Linked DNA regions of Solanum lycopersicum. The protein of the gene in region 2 binds, or shares a complex with, the protein of the main gene of each other region. Links are inferred from orthologs where the notes say so. Each region holds a gene or a part of one and is shown on either strand. Other genes may lie near its edges. The genes, in order: COP9 signalosome complex subunit 7 and CSN3.

What was found.
Region 1: CSN3 (region 2) and COP9 signalosome complex subunit 7 share a complex: the UniProt entries of both Arabidopsis thaliana proteins name them as parts of the CSN complex. The link is inferred for Solanum lycopersicum from reciprocal best matches to the Arabidopsis thaliana genes COP13 and FUS5.

The regions. Positions count from the first base shown.
Region 1 is NC_090800.1:79,720,449-79,724,885, reverse strand, and holds the start of COP9 signalosome complex subunit 7, read right to left. Parts: upstream 2,982-4,437; 5' UTR 2,770-2,981; coding exon 2,611-2,769; intron 1,161-2,610; coding exon 1,085-1,160; intron 1-1,084. UniProt on the Arabidopsis thaliana protein: Component of the COP9 signalosome complex (CSN), a complex involved in various cellular and developmental processes such as photomorphogenesis and auxin and jasmonate responses.
Region 2 is NC_090801.1:70,963,109-70,967,671, forward strand, and holds the start of CSN3 (COP9 signalosome complex subunit 3), read right to left. Parts: upstream 2,877-4,563; 5' UTR 2,603-2,876; coding exon 2,406-2,602; intron 1,908-2,405; coding exon 1,792-1,907; intron 1,700-1,791; coding exon 1,453-1,699; intron 944-1,452; coding exon 886-943; intron 759-885; coding exon 669-758; intron 278-668; coding exon 212-277; intron 1-211. Other genes in the region: sister chromatid cohesion 1 protein 2, read right to left, coding at 3,534-3,641, 3,997-4,129, 4,270-4,291, 4,370-4,406. UniProt on the Arabidopsis thaliana protein: Component of the COP9 signalosome complex (CSN), a complex involved in various cellular and developmental processes such as photomorphogenesis and auxin and jasmonate responses.

The DNA.
Region 1 (4,437 bases), on a different chromosome or scaffold from region 2:
TTTTTGGGTCAATCTGTTAGGAATAGGGTTACATAGTTATGGTTCTTTTCCATCAACATTTAATTGAATTCATGACAAGTTATTACAAATACAAGAGCGGGTGACGCATTGTATGAAACAGCATGCGGACCGTGTGAATCAAATATTGTATTGATGATTCACATGGTTTTCTACCATATGCAGTTCAATTTCATTGATTTTACTTAATTCTTAAGTTAAGAGAAGAAAAAAAGAAGACTTTTTTTCATTAGCACTTCTACTCAAAATATCAATCGTATCAAGGTGTTGAAATAACCAAATTCTTACTAGCAAAAAGATTATCATAACTTAAACTTGGAATGTGATATTACTTTATAAAAAGGCAATTGTGAATAAAAGTGATTACTGAGAAGGAATAAAAATTATATCATATTTGTAGTGTTATGTCTTATATACCTGAGCCAATAAGAAATAAAGAAATAAATTAATAAGCAAAATAGATGAGAAAATGGTTTTGAAGAATGTAATTCTATACGCTACTATTACTTGATACTATGGCCCCTATGTGGAACAAAAGTTCTATTCCAGTCTTGCTACGATCAAGAAATCCACATCAACCAAATAATTTGATTGATTTTGTAAGAAAATTTAGAATCAAACCAGTTCAAGAAGAACTATACCGCATAAAGTCCGAACAACTGAGGCTAAACCATGTCCTTATTAACTTCCCAGCCAACAATGAACTCATTTACGGAGAAACAAAACTTGAGAAGTTAATAACTTAATATTGATACCCTCATTTGCACTAACGCTCTATTAACAATTAGAAGAATCTTCAAGTTCTTATACATATGACCAAAAGCATATTCTATCTCAAAGAAATACCTCGAAATGATAGGGTACAAGTTCACAATATTATAAAATTTAAGGCATTTAATATGAAAGAATGGTAAATGAAGTATTGCAGATAAATTGACATAATGGCAATAAAAAGAACATTGTTGAAATCTCCAACCTGGAAAAGCGGATCCAATCAGCTACCCAGCCTACCCAACAAAAAAAATGTTTCTAAAATAATCAGATATAAAAAAAAATGTACGCTTACTTTTGTAGTCACTCCATGTTCCATGAGCAAACAAACGAAGCAAATCAAGGTATACTGAATTCTCAGTTCCTCCAAGCTGCATATAGGTCCAACAAAAAAAAACAATTAACCGCAAATATGAAAGGGATCCCAAAGTATATATACAGCAACATGGCAATATGGTGTTAACTACACAACTTGCAAAAAGTATATCAAGGTACAATTTTCAGGTGCTCCCAATAATCCTCTGCATTGAAACAAATGTTTTCTATGCCCATATTTTTCAAAAACTTACAGTTTGAGATTCAAATCTCACAATTAGATTTATGTTCCAGCAGAATCAACTATAATCTAAGTCTGTGATGCATAAATCTAACCTGAATCTTATGATTCAACAACCAACGTTGAATCACAGGTGCAATTTATAGTCAAGAAATACCACAATAAAGTGCCCACTTCAGATATGGTCTAACCTGACTGATCAAAAGCACTTCTTTTGCCCTTTATTCCCAGATGTCTACCTAATTGTCATAAAGGAACTCTAAAGAGAATCAAAACCGAGTATAAAACCCATTTCCTATGTAGCTCGGACTCTTCCAAACTGTCAATAGTGCATGTCGGATTCGCCAAAAGTAGTGTATTTTGGTGAATCCGACACGGATGCGGCATCAAAGTGAAGAGTCCGTGCAACTAAGCCCATTTCGATATGCTTAGGGTTTTGAGCTCTGAAGTTGATTGAATTGATAGGATGAACCCAAGTTATTTCCTCATTAATGATACTGTATCCCCTACGCTTCTATTACCTCTTTTAAAATCAATCAAATTGTAGTATCTTGATCCATTTTAGTTGTGTTTCCTGATATTCATTCCTTTTGTGTTTTGAAAATCATCTGGTACTTGATCATAAGATAAAATATTAACTTTTCATCTATTTATCCATGATCTAAAACATCTACATAGACTATTCAATATTTAACATACAGCCATATAAATGAGCAAGAGTTTGTAGCTCATCGGCAAAATATTGTTTTCATTAATCCATCCCAGTTTACTCAAAGCTTTCCTTTCTTAAGACATCCCCAACATTTTTCCTCGTACCACAAGACCAATTACTACGCCTAACGCAGGCACTTCCAATATGAGAGGAAAACCCACTAATCAAATTATCAGGAAATTCCATCAACAACAAAAACAACAAACCAAATGTAATCTCACAAGTGGTGTTTGATGTCCAGGTAGGGTAGAGTGTACGCGCAGACCTTATCCCTACCTTTGAGAAGGTAGAGAGGCTGTTTTCGAAAGACTCAACAAACAGATACCCAGAATGATATCATATTCCAGATATTGCCCAATCAATAGCATAAGTACATAACCACGACACAATGTTCAGGGTAAATACCTAGAAACCCAGTATAGGAAAAAACACACAAAATTACAAAAAAACAAATTAACGCAACACCTACTAACCCAATTATCATAAAAAAAAAAAAAAAACTTCAAACAAAATCAGAACAAGTGTAGAAATAGTAATATGAATGAATGGAAACCTCGAGAACACTGGGAACAGAAAGAATCTCTGAAAAAGCAAAGAGTGATGGATGCGAAGTGGCTTCAACAATAACAGTGGTAAGGGCAGAACCCTTGAGTGCTGATGCTTGTTTCACAAAGAAGTCGATGTGCTCCGCTTGCTTTTGTTCGATATCCATCTCTCTATGAATAATTAATAATCACAAGTAATCAGGGGTTCAATAACATTTATAGACAAAAGCAAAGAAAATTATTAGGGTTTCTGATTTCCGATTCAAAGATTTATCACAAAAACAAATAGAGAAGAGGGCTTTTTTAACTGTAAAATTTTGGAGTCCCACGGAGAAGAAGGGCGCTTGTCTGATTTGGTATGATGCTTTGAGCCCATCGCGGGTCCTTTTATACTTTTGATTTACTTTTAAGCTTCTTTCAATATTTTACAATAATAATTACTCCCTCCGTTTAAAAAAATAATAATAATTTAAAATAAAATTTCAAAAAAGGAATAATATATTTTAATTTTATGTAACTAAATTAAAGTTATGTCAAGTATATCAAAATACTTTTTAATTTTATATTCTTAAACATGTCATATCGTTAAAATGTTGCCAGAAAAGGAAAAATATCATTCTTTTTAAAATATACAAAAAAGAAAATAAGATCATTATAAGAAATATATACTAATTATTTTATATGTATATTAAATTTTAATAAATTTCAATAATAATATATTCAATATGATAACGTAGAGTGAATGTCATGTTAATCAAATCATGTATACTGAAGAAAGATTTTTGACATTGACATACTATTAATCTTAATGGCTTTGTCGTATGCTTTAGGTTGATTTCATGTCAATGTATTTAAATTTGAATATACCATTATTATATGATAACTTATCAATAAAATAGTATTTTGTATTTATACAATTAGATAGAGAGTTACTTAACAAGTAAGGGGTTGCATTTTACGAAAAATTCATCAAAGAGCTCTTAGCAAATGTGAGACAATCACTTCTTTCAATCTTTCTCGATCATAGATATTATTGTTTTTCACTTGACACCTTGATAATAATGAATAACTTGTATCATCTTTCCTCAAACTTTTATGATTTAATTTTATGTTTTTAATCATGTATGTTATGTCATTTTCAATCGTGGCATATTTCGGATGCTTGAAGGTCCCGCTGACACGAAGTGATTTAGAAATATTCTTCTTTTGTCGATGGTGATCGGTCATGGTATACACAACCTTGCTTTTTTTTCGTTCAAATCCTGATTTCGTTTTGCTTCTCCCGATCGTCGAGCCTGATCGATTTGACTCTTTTCCATGCCCCCGACCTCTCACTCTATTTCGTTCTACTTCTGTACCATTGCTTGAATAAAGACACCCGGCCGACCCGACTTTCCCAAATCCCCCCCCCCCGACCCTTCTCCTTTACGGGGTCTAGATTTTTCGCGTCGTTTCAATCGTCGTGGTCGACGGAGAAGAAAGAAATGAATGAATATTCTTTTGGGTTATATATATATTTTGAAAATAGTTGCAAGACAAAAACTGAAACCTTTCTTTTATTGTTGTTCCTCCCAGATACATGGCTTACATATGTGGCTCAACATTCTTGGAAAACAACCGAATCGAGGGTTCGGGAGCCTATAAAACGTTTGTTATGATATAAGGATCGTGCGCCTACCCGAATTGACTTCGCTATTGCTTCCGTGTAGGGGTCGATCCCAAAATAGGGATTTTTTTATGTGAAAGGAATTTTGAAGCGAGTATTATTTTATAATAAATCTGTAAATGTAAATTATAGTCAACTTGCTATTAACTAATTAAGCACAAATTATTAC
Region 2 (4,563 bases):
TGCTAATACAAAATATGCAATGCTTATACTTTGAAACAACACTTGAATCAGTACAAGATTTCTAACATCAACATTGTAACGCCAACTGTGCATACTTAACTGAGCTTGCATTGTCATCAAATCATTTGAGGGAAAATATTCCTTTCAATTTGCTTTGGGTGGAACAGTCGGTGCTACTTGGAATCAATGTTTGCACAGTTGAAATAATTACCTGAGAGAAATTCTTCAAGTTCCTTTGAGCCACGGAAGAAGTGTACTTGGGAAAACTGGTAGAGAACTGCCATGATAAGCAAACCTCAATTTAATCAGGAGAACGAAAATCAGCAAGAATAAACATCGGAAACATGACCTATCATATTCTTTTTTACTTTGTGCATATTTGTTGTTGTTTTGGGTGAGGGGGGGAGGGGGGTGCTTACATCTCTACTCAAAGTGCATATTACAAGCCAAAATCATTTTAAAAAGTTGACACATTGTGGCTCAAACTAAACGAGTCCATCGGTGATAATATCATACATAATGTAAAATAAGAAGGTTATACGGCAGTGCAAGCTCAAGCCCCAGAAAAGACACATAGATCTCACAAACTGTTGTCCAACAGAGACGTCACAAGAATATTGACTAAATATTATCACCAAAAGTATGTAAAAAATGGTGGCAAAACACACCTGCCCAAGATGAATCAGTGAAACCAGAATGTACTTTTTGTAAGCTTCAACTGCTATTGCATTTAGAGTAGACATAGGTGCAGTCACAACCTAGAAGCATAACAGATAGAATCAGCACAAACGGACAGATATAGATAATATATAGTAACTTGCAAATAGGGAATAACAAAACCAAATACCAATAAAGGAAACATGGAATGAGAACACAGTAACATACATTGTGCAAGAGTTCCAATGCTTTGCGGAACTGCTTTTGTCCAATGCAAACCATTCCCCTGTTATTATGTTCAAATTATAAGACATGTCAACAAGTATAAGACACAAATCCAGAAAAATCCAGAAAGCGATAGAAAGATTATATCAGTGACTTTTTTAATTAAGAAAATATTGAATTACTCAATCTCATTCTAAATTGATACATCACTTGTGATTCACATTGCTGTTAAGAACTTTGTCTTTAGGTTGGAGAACTAAACAATATCAAAGGTAAGAAAGGCAGACGTAGATAATTGTATACCAATACCATGGGTTTTTGAACAAAATTAATTCTTTCACCAGATAACTATACAAGCAAATACAAATATTCATAGGCGAGTAAAGTTCCTCTTTCCTATAAAAATTAGAAAACACACTGATAGGAAAGCATGATTTAATGAATTGCCATAAAAAATATTCCAATTTTTTTTTTTAAAAGTCACAGAGAAATTTAAACAAGGAACGGAACAAGGGAACGACACCAACACAACTGAAATAACTTCTAAGCAGAAAGTCTGAAACAACTAACCCGTAGTAACAATAGAGAAAAAACTCCCGTGGCTGATCAATCTCATATATGTCATCCTCCAGCACAGAGAAGCCAGTTTTGTAGCACTTTGCTAATAGACAAAGAAGAAGAAAATCGGCATGCAATGTTGTTAATTGCTCAGGGGAGGATTGCAGTTTACGAATAGCAGTCAGCATTGGAGCCACACCACGAATCGGAGTTTCCAGTCCGAAAACATGATCCTTGAACTTTTTACAAACAGAAATGACTGCAACCACAAATTGAAGACGTGCCTCAATATAAGTTAGACCAGAAACAAGAATATTCACAAAAGCTATTCCAGAAACCAGAGAAAATTACACTTATTGGGCGCCAACTGGATTTGCTCTGTAGAACATGAATTGATAAATCTAGCGACAGAAACAAGCAGTTCACTAACATGCTCCTTTGCAACTGGGAATGAGATGCATGCCTCCCTGTTAGTTAACAAACACAATTATATGATTAATACACACTAGACAGAGTACAAAAGACAACGCGCACTTGTTACACAAATACTGGTCTTTAATTCAGTGGATGGTTCAATTCTGCATTATTTTTATAGATTATGTAATCAATCAATCAACTATGCCTCAATCCTACATGTATTGGTGTTGACCATAACAATCCTCTTTGTCAATTAGCTTTTCTTTTTTCATAATCACCGTGGTGTCCACCAAGCTAATTCCACGCGTACCAATACCAGGTGTCCAACAAAGTTAGGGCAGATGGGAAAAAAACACCTGCATTGGGATTTTAACATGAAACCTCATCGTCCATAGCCCACGATGACTAAGCCACAGCCCAGGGTGTTTTAATCAATATATCTATATATATAACCTAACAATGGCTAATTTAAACAAATAATAATCTTCAGAATAGAAACCCTAGGTTTAGGTTATAAGAATAAGAGATGAGGATGAAAAGGAACTTACAGAATATAGAGAAAACCTAGGGAGTGAATAGAAGGATCGAGTTCAGCGAGAGAAGAAAGCAAGCGAGAGAAGTCGGAATGGAGTAGCTCTTCCGATTGTTTGAGAAAGTTGTGAAGCTGAGTTATGTCTGATGAATTGCTCGATAGCCCTTGGATTTGAGCAACCACTGATTCCATTGAATTCATGTTCAGATTCATCTCTCTCGCCCAATCAACACACTTATGAGTTTCAGCAGATTCACGTCTAAGAGACGAGGCTTCAACTGGACTGGGTAATAAATAAAAAGAAATAATTGGGACTTCTTTTATGTCCAGTTTTATTTCTCTTATATAAATTAAAAATAAAGAGCGATTGGGTTTTCATCTATTTTTATTAAATTTAAATTTATATAAAGAGATTACAAAAACTTCTTTTTAAAAAAGAAATTATTAAACATTTTAAAAATACCTAAAAATTATTTTAATTTTTTTTCTTCCATTACATATAAAATTGGAGGAATAAATTATTTCGAATTTGACAATCAAATAATACATCAAAATTTTTATGCATAAACTAATTTTTATTCTATGAGTACTTAAAGACACGAAAGACCTCTTTGTGTCCTACTCCTACCATGTCTTTTTTTTTTTTTTTTTTCGCGATAAAAGCTTTTTAAAACTCACAAATACAAATGTAACATGATATTTATACGACATAAGTCACAACTATTATTGCTCATTGTTGATTAAAACGCCTATGAATTGACAACATTGTAGAGCAATATTTTTCTATAACCACTTCCAGATATATATTGGGTATACAATTTTCTCATAAAAAGCCTTTTCGTGTATTTGATGTTAAAGAAAATTGGAGTAATAGCTTTTCACAAGTGGTTAAATTGGGCACCAGTAGTAGTTATAAACCAAAACATTGACAATAAATTCAACTAATTCCTGATAGAAGACATAATAGTTAACAATAACCTAACTTGCCTTCATGTTAAGGAGGAAGAGCAATAGCTAGCAAAGAAAAGCGCTCTTCCACTCATATATACTACCAAACATATATAAAAGCATATATGTCATGTGATTGTTTCCTCTGGCTACTATTTACCAACACAGCTCTCTTTGTGAACATATATATATAGATTCAGGACTCAGCTTCAAAGGTCTGCTTTAGTCTTGGGAGTTTTTGCAAAAGAATGTCACTGTAGGCATCATCCTGCCGCACATCTATACAGCCTCCTGATTTCAGAACCTGCGTGGAAAATAAGCATTGTAAATAATTCACAATGTATATATCTTACGTTGGATTATATTTACGTAAAACCAGAGACAAATGCGTAAAATAAATTCATGTGTCCGTCCATTATAACCAATGTTTATAGGCCAAGAAACACGGGGGCATTTAACAACAATAGAACCAAAGAAATTCCTTTTTAAGCACCACCATCTAGAGCACATCCTGGATGCTTGACAGAAGGGAAACAAGGGACAAAAACTCCTGCTGAAAGCGCTACTCAAAATATGTATCAAATAATTCCGTTCATCCACAAGTTCAATTTGGCAGACCTAAAATTACCAGAAAGATGAAAGGAACCTAAAAACAATACCAGTATCTCGTAGAACACCCTTGCACTGTCTCCCTTTGTTTTCCCCTTCATAAGCAAGGACAAGTTGACAACTTCTACCTCCTCCTTCCCCTTCCGAGCAAGGAAGTTTTCAAACAGGAATTTTGCGACCTTTCTGCATGCAAAAAGCCAAAAATTGGATCACCGCCAAAAACAGAAGAAATGAATTTTCACAAATTTCTGAGAGTCATAACCAAAAGATGCCACAGACAAGGGGATGCAAGAATTGAAACTGAGATCCCTTATTCATCATACCCTGTTCTCAGGGAATATTTGCCTGCAACCAAGACAACAACTTATGAGAATGGCAACTCAATTGAAATAATATTGCACCACTAAAACAGTACTTCCTTACATTTTCCTGAGGTATCCCCTTCAAATGAATTGATCTCCTGAGGAAAGAGCGCATTTGTTGCAGTTAGCACTTATTAGCATTGCAATAACAGATACAGACAATAGAACTTTTTTATTTCCAAAAAAAGTTAATAATCATCACAATACACTTCAGTAGCTGAAAGCAATTTCCTTTACTTATGTAAGCAATCAGAC